Arabidopsis thaliana: one gene and its partner. The protein of the gene in region 1 binds, or shares a complex with, the protein of each later gene. Each region holds a gene or a part of one and is shown on either strand. Other genes may lie near its edges. The genes, in order: AT2G22425 and AT2G39960.

Region 1 (3,432 bases):
TTTTAAAAATGACTATCTTTTCGAATCAAAAAAATTTCCTACAAAATACAATAATAAACAAAGAGAGTAGTACTGTTCATCTAAATACTGTATAATGGATGTTTTACCAATTTTAACAATTACGTACAAAAGTTTCACACCTTTATAAAAAAAATTTGATCAATTATCCTTTTATCTTCTTTATTTTTGCCAGCTAATATACACTGCAATAATCCAAACTTAACAAACATTTAACATTACTTCAGATTCATCATTCAATAATTTCACAAACCCATAATTTTACCAAATTACTACACTAATCCCCCATTGGCACCAATTCTATAATTAGAAAATTTATTTCTTTATTTATTTATTTATTTATTTCTATTTATTAAAGAAATAAATTATAGAAATTGGAATGCCCACCACCACCAGAGACCACACTTGCACAAATTCCATCTATAAACACAAAAGCCTTTAGTATCATTCTCGAAAACCACCAAAAACCTCTTTATAACCCAACAAACAAAGTCTCTACTTCTTCTTCAATCACTGAAACACAACACCAAAAAAGAAAAAAGTATGTCTCTTCTTCCCCATCTCATCCTCTACCTAACACTTTTGACGGTGGTTGTTACTGGAGAAACTCTCCGACCAAGATTCTACAGCGAGACATGCCCTGAAGCTGAATCCATAGTAAGAAGAGAAATGAAGAAAGCAATGATCAAAGAAGCAAGAAGCGTCGCTTCCGTCATGCGTTTCCAATTTCACGACTGTTTCGTCAATGTAAACACTATAAATCTTTCTCTCTGTTCTTGATCTTTACTCTGTTTTCCTCTCTGAATTTTTCTTTGAATCATCAAATTCAGGGATGTGACGCATCTCTGTTGCTTGACGACACACCAAACATGCTTGGTGAAAAACTATCACTTTCCAACATCGATTCACTAAGATCTTTCGAAGTCGTTGACGACATTAAAGAAGCTCTAGAGAAAGCTTGTCCAGCTACTGTTTCTTGTGCCGATATCGTTATCATGGCCGCTCGTGACGCCGTTGCTCTTGTAAGTCAAAATTCAATTTCCCCGGTTTAGTGAAATCTCGGTTTTGTAATTTTGGTCTTTGAAAAAACCAGACAGGAGGACCAGATTGGGAAGTGAAGCTAGGGAGGAAAGACAGTTTAACAGCGAGTCAGCAAGATTCCGACGATATAATGCCAAGTCCAAGAGCCAACGCAACTTTCTTGATTGATCTCTTCGAAAGATTCAATCTTTCTGTAAAAGACATGGTTGCTTTATCAGGGTCACACTCAATAGGTCAAGGTCGGTGTTTTTCAATCATGTTCAGACTTTATAACCAATCCGGTTCTGGTAAACCGGATCCAGCTCTTGAACCGAGTTACCGTAAGAAGCTTGATAAGCTTTGTCCTTTGGGTGGAGATGAGAATGTGACTGGAGATCTAGATGCAACACCTCAGGTTTTTGATAATCAGTATTTCAAAGACTTGGTTTCAGGGAGAGGGTTTCTTAACTCTGATCAGACTTTGTACACGAATCTAGTGACGAGAGAGTATGTGAAGATGTTTAGTGAGGATCAAGATGAGTTCTTTAGGGCTTTTGCAGAAGGCATGGTGAAGTTGGGTGATTTGCAATCTGGGAGACCTGGTGAGATTAGGTTTAATTGTAGAGTTGTTAATAGAAGGCCTATTGATGTATTGCTTGTATCTTGAATTATCATTAGTAAAGAGAAGAAATCTTAATTATGACTTCTAAATTGATGCAAATCTTTTTAGCTACATGCCATGGATCTTGGTTCTCCAAAACTTTGATTTTGGTTTATGAATACTGGTCACTGCTAAAGCTACAATCTGGTCACACCAGTCTATAAAATAGTAAACATTATCTAATCACTGAAGTTGTTGTCCCAATAAACAAATTATGGACTGGACAAGTAGCAACATTCTAATTCTGAGGTACACACAAAGAAACTTAAATGTAAATATTCCTTGTTTCAAGGTTTCAGAATTTGCACATATACAAAATCTCGAAATAATTAAGGCACATTAAAAACCGCCGGTTCACCCGGTTATAGAGTAATCTGACCGTCCACTTTATCCGGTTTACTTTTAAACCGATTTTGTGGTCTTAGCTCATAAATGTCAAGAGTCCTTTCTTTTCTTCCCCATTGTTGAAAATCAGGTTTACAGATTCAGTGAGAGATCAGATCGCTAAAGGTTTGTGCAATTAGGGTTCTCAGATTCTCTCTTTTGTTTAACTTTGGATTCAAATCGCTAATGGTTTTTGATTTCGTTGTGTAGAAGAAAATGGATTGGCAAGGACAGAAACTGGTGGAGCAGCTGATGCAGATCTTACTGGTGATCTCCGGCGTTGTAGCGGTGGTTGTTGGCTACACAACGGAATCGTTCAGGACGATGATGCTGATCTATGCCGGTGGTGTTGTTCTCACGACTTTGGTTACTGTACCTAATTGGCCTTTCTACAATCTTCATCCTCTCAAATGGTTAGATCCGAGCGAAGCCGAGAAGCATCCCAAACCAGAAGTTGTCAGTGTTGCTTCGAAGAAGAAATTCTCTAAGAAATAGGTCTGATTCTGAATCTCTCTCTCTCTCTCTCTCTCTCTCTCTCTCAGAATTGTTTGTATGAGATATTTGTGGATCGGAATCTTAATTATGAATTGAATATTCTGGGTTGATTCTTATAATTATCTGTTTTTGCCAAAGGAATTTGCTTTTGAATCAATGGCTATGGCTGTAATCTGGCAATTTCACTGAATTGTGTAGATTATCTATCATCAGAGAGTTTTAGATGAAAAAGTCTTATGAATCACAAAAGTCTCAGTTTTTATGAAAATGGTACATAAATATCACACCATCCATTTACACTCTGTGTTAAGCTTGTGTGCAAAAACCAATGCTAGTCTTTGATGCTTTGCTCCTTCTTATTTTCTTGAGTCGAAGTAGAAATAGTTTGTGTGATTCCAAACTGTTCCGCTAGTCGCTGGTCAGAGGATTTGCACGGGTTCATATTCCGGGAGATTCGAGTCATCTGGCGAACGCGAACGCTTAAAGGTAGGTCATAGGCTTATGAAACGAAATGACAGTTGAATCAGCGAACGCGTACAGGTTTGGAATCAGAATTTGAGAGAACCAACATTTGGCAGGATGCTTGTAAATGAGCTGTGGAGAAAAAGGAGTGGTTTAGTTAGGTCAGCATTAGGAAGAAGCAGAGGATATGAAAAGTATACCTTCACCAGAAGGATGAAGCAAATTCACAAACAAAGAGAGAGCTCTCCGGAAGTAGCAATAGCCAAAATCTACATGGTATCGCAAAAAAAATACATCATGTGGATAAACAATAGAGGAAAATTCAGTGATTGTAAGAAACTAGTCAACTCTAGAGACAAAATCAAATACAAGGTATATATGACAAACGTATA
Region 2 (4,946 bases), 7.2 Mb from region 1:
CGAGCTGAAGCCACAGCTCTTGCACGGAAGAAGAAAGGTTTGGGTGACGGATCAGTTGGGATGTTTGCTTCACTTTTAGTGGCTGCCTTTGCCGGGTACAATAGAATTTCGTTATGTAAATTTGTTTTATATGCTAGTTTTTGGTCTGTTACAATACGGATTAGAGATTACCATTAGTTAGGAATGCTATACAGAATTTCAAAATAGCTCTTAGGTGCTTCAGTTTTTCTCATAAACTTCACATTGGCTGTGGGTGAAGGCTCGCCACGGTCACATTTCTAATGCTATCATCTATGCTATTATACTGTTACTTGTCTAGTGGAGCTTCTAGGTGGATGGTCTTAACTTTTCCTGTCAGGTCCTACTGTCATAGCTGTTTTCTTCTTTGATTGTAAACTTTGGTCGCATGTATAGTTCATTATTGTAATTTGTTTTTTTTCCATTGTTTCCGTTGGCTCATGTGAATTTTGATAACACTCTCACTGTGCAGATCGGTTAATGTTCTTATGACGAATCCGATTTGGGTGATTGTTACGCGTATGCAGGTATAAATGGCTTCATATACACTAGTACCGTAAAGTGCTTCTTACGCTGTCCAGTCAATTTCAATTACATTTTCTTTGGTCCGTGGTAGTTTTAGTTTTGCGTTTGAGCATGAATCTATGGATTTTCTCTCCTCACTTTTATTTCTCCTCTTGATTTTTTGAATACTTGTATGCAGACCCACAGAAAAATGACAAAAGATCAAACAGCGGCCCCCGAGTCACCTTCTTCTAATGCAGAAGCTCTGGTTGCTGTTGAGCCGCGTCCATATGGGACCTTTAATACGGTATGAGGCAGCTTCCCGTATTTAAAAACTAGAAGAAGCTGGCTAGGGTCATATACTCATATCAATTATTATGAGTCAAATCAAACTCTATAAACCTCTCAATTAAGACAGTTTCTGTGATATTTGTTGAACAATGTCTCAGATTCGAGAGGTTTACGATGAAGCTGGAATAACTGGCTTCTGGAAAGGTGTAATTCCAACATTGATCATGGTACGTGAGCTTATGATTTTGAAGCTTCTCTTGTATTGTTTGTCTAGGTGCATTTTATTAATAATTAGATGTGTGTGTGTGTTTTTAACCCACAGGTAAGTAATCCGTCAATGCAATTTATGTTGTACGAGACAATGCTAACCAAGCTGAAGAAAAAGCGTGCCTTGAAGGGTAGCAACAACGTTACCGCTTTGGAGGTTCAGACTCTAGCATTTTGCTTTCGTTTTTTTTGAATAAGATGTTTACTTGCTTTCCAACTTCCCATGATTGTGCTTTCTATTTTCCACAGACATTTCTTCTCGGAGCTGTGGCGAAACTCGGAGCTACAGTCACAACTTACCCTCTCTTGGTTGTAAAGTCGCGACTTCAAGCCAAACAGGTCACAACAGGGGACAAAAGACAACAATACAAAGGTTTTCCCTCTTATCATGAAATGGCCAAAATAACTCATTTGTCAGTTAAAGCTAAGAGTTGCTGTGTTGGTTTTGAATTACAGGAACATTGGACGCGATTCTGAAAATGATTCGATATGAAGGGCTTTACGGGTTTTATAAAGGGATGAGCACAAAGATTGTGCAGAGCGTTTTAGCTGCTGCGGTTCTGTTCATGATCAAGGAAGAGCTTGTCAAGGGAGCTAAGCTGTTGCTCTCAAACGCTACCTCTAGCTAAGTCAAGTCCAAGCCTTCTTGAATGAACGCTAGTAGTTAGAAATAAATAAAAATAGATTAAATTTCCAATAGTTTTCTTGATTAATTATTACACTATTGGGATTGTTGTTCATTTCCTGATGATTGCAATTGATTATTGTAATTTCTGCAAGATTCTTTAGTAATGAAATCTGAATAAAGTTTGGCAGATTTCCTTTGTTCTTTCTTCAATAGAAAGAAATCTTCAGCATTTAAGTTTATAATAGTCAAATAAGGGTTTAATTAGTTGACAAAAAAGGTTTAGATGTGTCATTAGTTGACTTGACTACATTAAGCCCAGCAAGGCCCAATAAATTTCATCCATCAAAACGACATCATAATAAACGAGTTTTGACTGAAACGTCTTCTAGCTCCATCCAATATATCGTCTTCTTCCTCCTCGAACCAAAAACATCAGTCTCTCCTAGTCTCAGCGCTCGTGAAAATCTGAAACTCTGCGTTCGAATTTTCGAAGAACATTAGAGATCTGGTATTATCTGGATCCGATCTGTTCACCATGGAGGAGAAGAAGACAGAATCAACCAACAAGAATGTTAAGAAGGCCAATCTATTGGACCACCACTCGATCAAGCACATCCTTGACGAATCCGTCTCCGATGTAAGAATTTTCTAAGATTTTCCTTGTTCGTTGCTCCATATTTCTCTGATATGTGAATCTATGATTCGTAGATCGTTACGAGCCGTGGCTATAAGGAGGATGTGAGATTGAGCAACCTCAAACTGATTTTGGGAACGATTATCATCGTTGTTGCTCTTGTTGCTCAATTCTACAACAAGAAATTCCCTGAGAACAGGGATTTTTTGATTGGATGCATCGCATTATATCCTTTTTTCTCGAATTCAATTGATACTTTCTGCTTTCTGCTTGACTCTCATTTGGTTGGTTTCCAGTGGCTAAGATGAAATTTAAGAAAATTGAGATTAGAGAACTTGTAATGTGGCTCGAATTCTTTGTGCTTAGTTAGCATTAGATTTTGGAAAACCTTCTTGTATCTAAAGTATGACTATAGAAGCTGATCGATATATGTCTTGTATTTGGATAATTCTGAAGAAGATGTTTGGTCCTTGACTATATGACACGTATGTAGTGTTGAATGCGGTGTTGCAGCTGATTCTGTACACTAAGGAGAAGAATGCGATTTTGTTCACCTATCCTCCTGAGGTTTGGTCTCTGACTATTTAGAAAAGTTATTTCATTGAGAAGTTTCGTGGTTTGGGCTACATTCTTGTTTTGTCTATGATGCTACAATTGTATTGTATTTCTGTGATTTAGGTGCATAATGTACCTTTTTTCCTTGTTCACTTACTTTTAACTGGAGCTATAGTTTGAATTCTGGTGTCAAACTTTTGCATTCCTTTTGTTTTGTATTTTGTTTCTGCTTGCCTGACATGTTATGTAAAGTTTGCAACTTTGCATATCTTAAGGCATCTTTTTTTTTTTTTTTTTTTTTCATTTGAGCTCTAGGCAAAACTACATTTCCCTTTCAATGTATTGTTCAATTAGTTTTAGTCTTCAAACTTTAGATTTTGAAAAATAGTTGAACAAAAGTTTTTGATGTTTGCAATCGTTTCTGTCTTGTTTCTCGAAACATAATTGTTCAACTAAGTGGAGGATTCTGGACTGTAACTTGGGTGGTTTATTTCTCATTCTTACCAGCTTGAAGAAATTACTCCTCTCATTTAGTTAGTATCCGAGACGATGAGATTTTTTTTTCCAAACATTTCATTCTGTACTCGTTTAGTTAGCTCTAGGAAACATAACAAAAAGAGCTCAGACATTTTGTCTTTCTGAAGCCATGTTAAATTGATGCAATAATTTGGTTAGTGGGATTGCTTCATTTTGTTATGTCAAGACTCAAGATCCTAAAGCTCTCTGGTTGATATATATTTGCTCACTCTCATTTGTTTTGCTACTGTTCAAACATGTATGTTTAGCTCATCATTTGGTGCTCCTCTTTGGAAAAATCTTAAAATCTGATGGTTGATACGCAGGGATCATTCACCAGCACTGGTTTGGTGGTATCTTCAAAGTTGCCCAGATTCTCTGATCAGTACACTCTCACCATCGACAGTGCTGATCCAAAATCAATCTCAGCTGGGAAGTCAGTTCAGCTCACCAAAAGTGTCACCCAATGGTCTCTCTCTCGGCATCTTTCTTACAATTGCTCGCTCTGTTTTCCTTACATGAGTCTCATTAGATGGTTTCTCTGTGTGTTTTTCAGGTTCACGAAAGATGGAGTTCTTGTTGAGGGTTTATTCTGGAAAGACGTAGAAGCACTAATCAAGAACTATGCAGAAGAAGAACCAAAGAAGAAGAAATGATCATCTTCCAGAGAAATATATGCTTTTGAAACTCCATATGTTGGCGTTTTAGAATACTAAATCGATGGTGACTTTGTTTAGAGATGAAACTAATATTTGGATTTTTCCTTATAGCCAACTTTTTGAATTAATCCGAGATTTTATGATCACTATTTAGAAAAGAATAAAAAGCTTTACCTAAGTTAGTAAGCCAATGGCTCACATCAAGTATATGCTTGTCGTTTAGTTATTTGTACTAGATCATACATAAAAAAAAGGTCAAATGCTTCACGAATTGTGGATGATTTGATTCGTAATATTTTGTATGATTGATGATAAAACACCTACATATGATATGAGTGGCTTGGATGACTCTAGTCTCTTTTTAGACAGCCTTTTCTTTCTCGTATGGCTTGGGAAAGTTCATTTGGTGATTGTAGTTGGTTGGAGTCGCCTTTTTTTAGCACTTTTTGATTAGAAAATTTTCCATTTTCCGTTATAAAAAATTCCACAGCTTAACAAGAGATGGGTCTCTATGATTTTGCAAAAGTATTGAATAACTTTCTTGATGTAAGATGACAATCCAAATTTGGATATACAATTTTAAACATATAAAACTCCAAATAAAATAATGTAAAGAATTGTGTTTTAAAAGATACCATAATTTTTGTTTTTCCTGCTTTTCATAGTTCTAAATTCTAATCATAGCAGCGGTCAAAAAAAAAAAAAATTAATATAAAAATTTATAATAAAATAAATCTCTAAAAATATGGAAGCTATTAAACCAATTTTCGTTTGAAAAAACTTTCTCCTCGTATTAACATAACGTAGTGGAATTTTAAAATATTCCAAATCACATGCTATAATCCATACATTTTTTATCCATTCATTGGCCACA

What was found.
Region 2: AT2G22425 (region 1) and AT2G39960 share a complex: the UniProt entries of both Arabidopsis thaliana proteins name them as parts of the signal peptidase complex.

The regions. Positions count from the first base shown.
Region 1 is NC_003071.7:9,512,780-9,516,211, forward strand, and holds AT2G22425 (Microsomal signal peptidase 12 kDa subunit (SPC12)), read left to right. Parts: upstream 1-1,915; 5' UTR 1,916-2,209; intron 2,210-2,293; 5' UTR 2,294-2,299; coding exon 2,300-2,578; 3' UTR 2,579-2,895; downstream 2,896-3,432. Other genes in the region: AT2G22420 (Peroxidase superfamily protein), read left to right, coding at 562-765, 849-1,040, 1,112-1,705. UniProt on the Arabidopsis thaliana protein: Component of the signal peptidase complex (SPC) which catalyzes the cleavage of N-terminal signal sequences from nascent proteins as they are translocated into the lumen of the endoplasmic reticulum. Dispensable for SPC enzymatic activity.
Region 2 is NC_003071.7:16,680,789-16,685,734, reverse strand, and holds AT2G39960 (Microsomal signal peptidase 25 kDa subunit (SPC25)), read left to right. Parts: upstream 1-2,016; 5' UTR 2,017-2,243; coding exon 2,244-2,345; intron 2,346-2,416; coding exon 2,417-2,568; intron 2,569-2,827; coding exon 2,828-2,909; intron 2,910-3,739; coding exon 3,740-3,882; intron 3,883-3,969; coding exon 3,970-4,069; 3' UTR 4,070-4,439; downstream 4,440-4,946. Other genes in the region: PXN (Mitochondrial substrate carrier family protein), read left to right, coding at 1-95, 491-545, 722-829, 972-1,040, 1,136-1,237, 1,330-1,453, 1,537-1,709. UniProt on the Arabidopsis thaliana protein: Component of the signal peptidase complex (SPC) which catalyzes the cleavage of N-terminal signal sequences from nascent proteins as they are translocated into the lumen of the endoplasmic reticulum.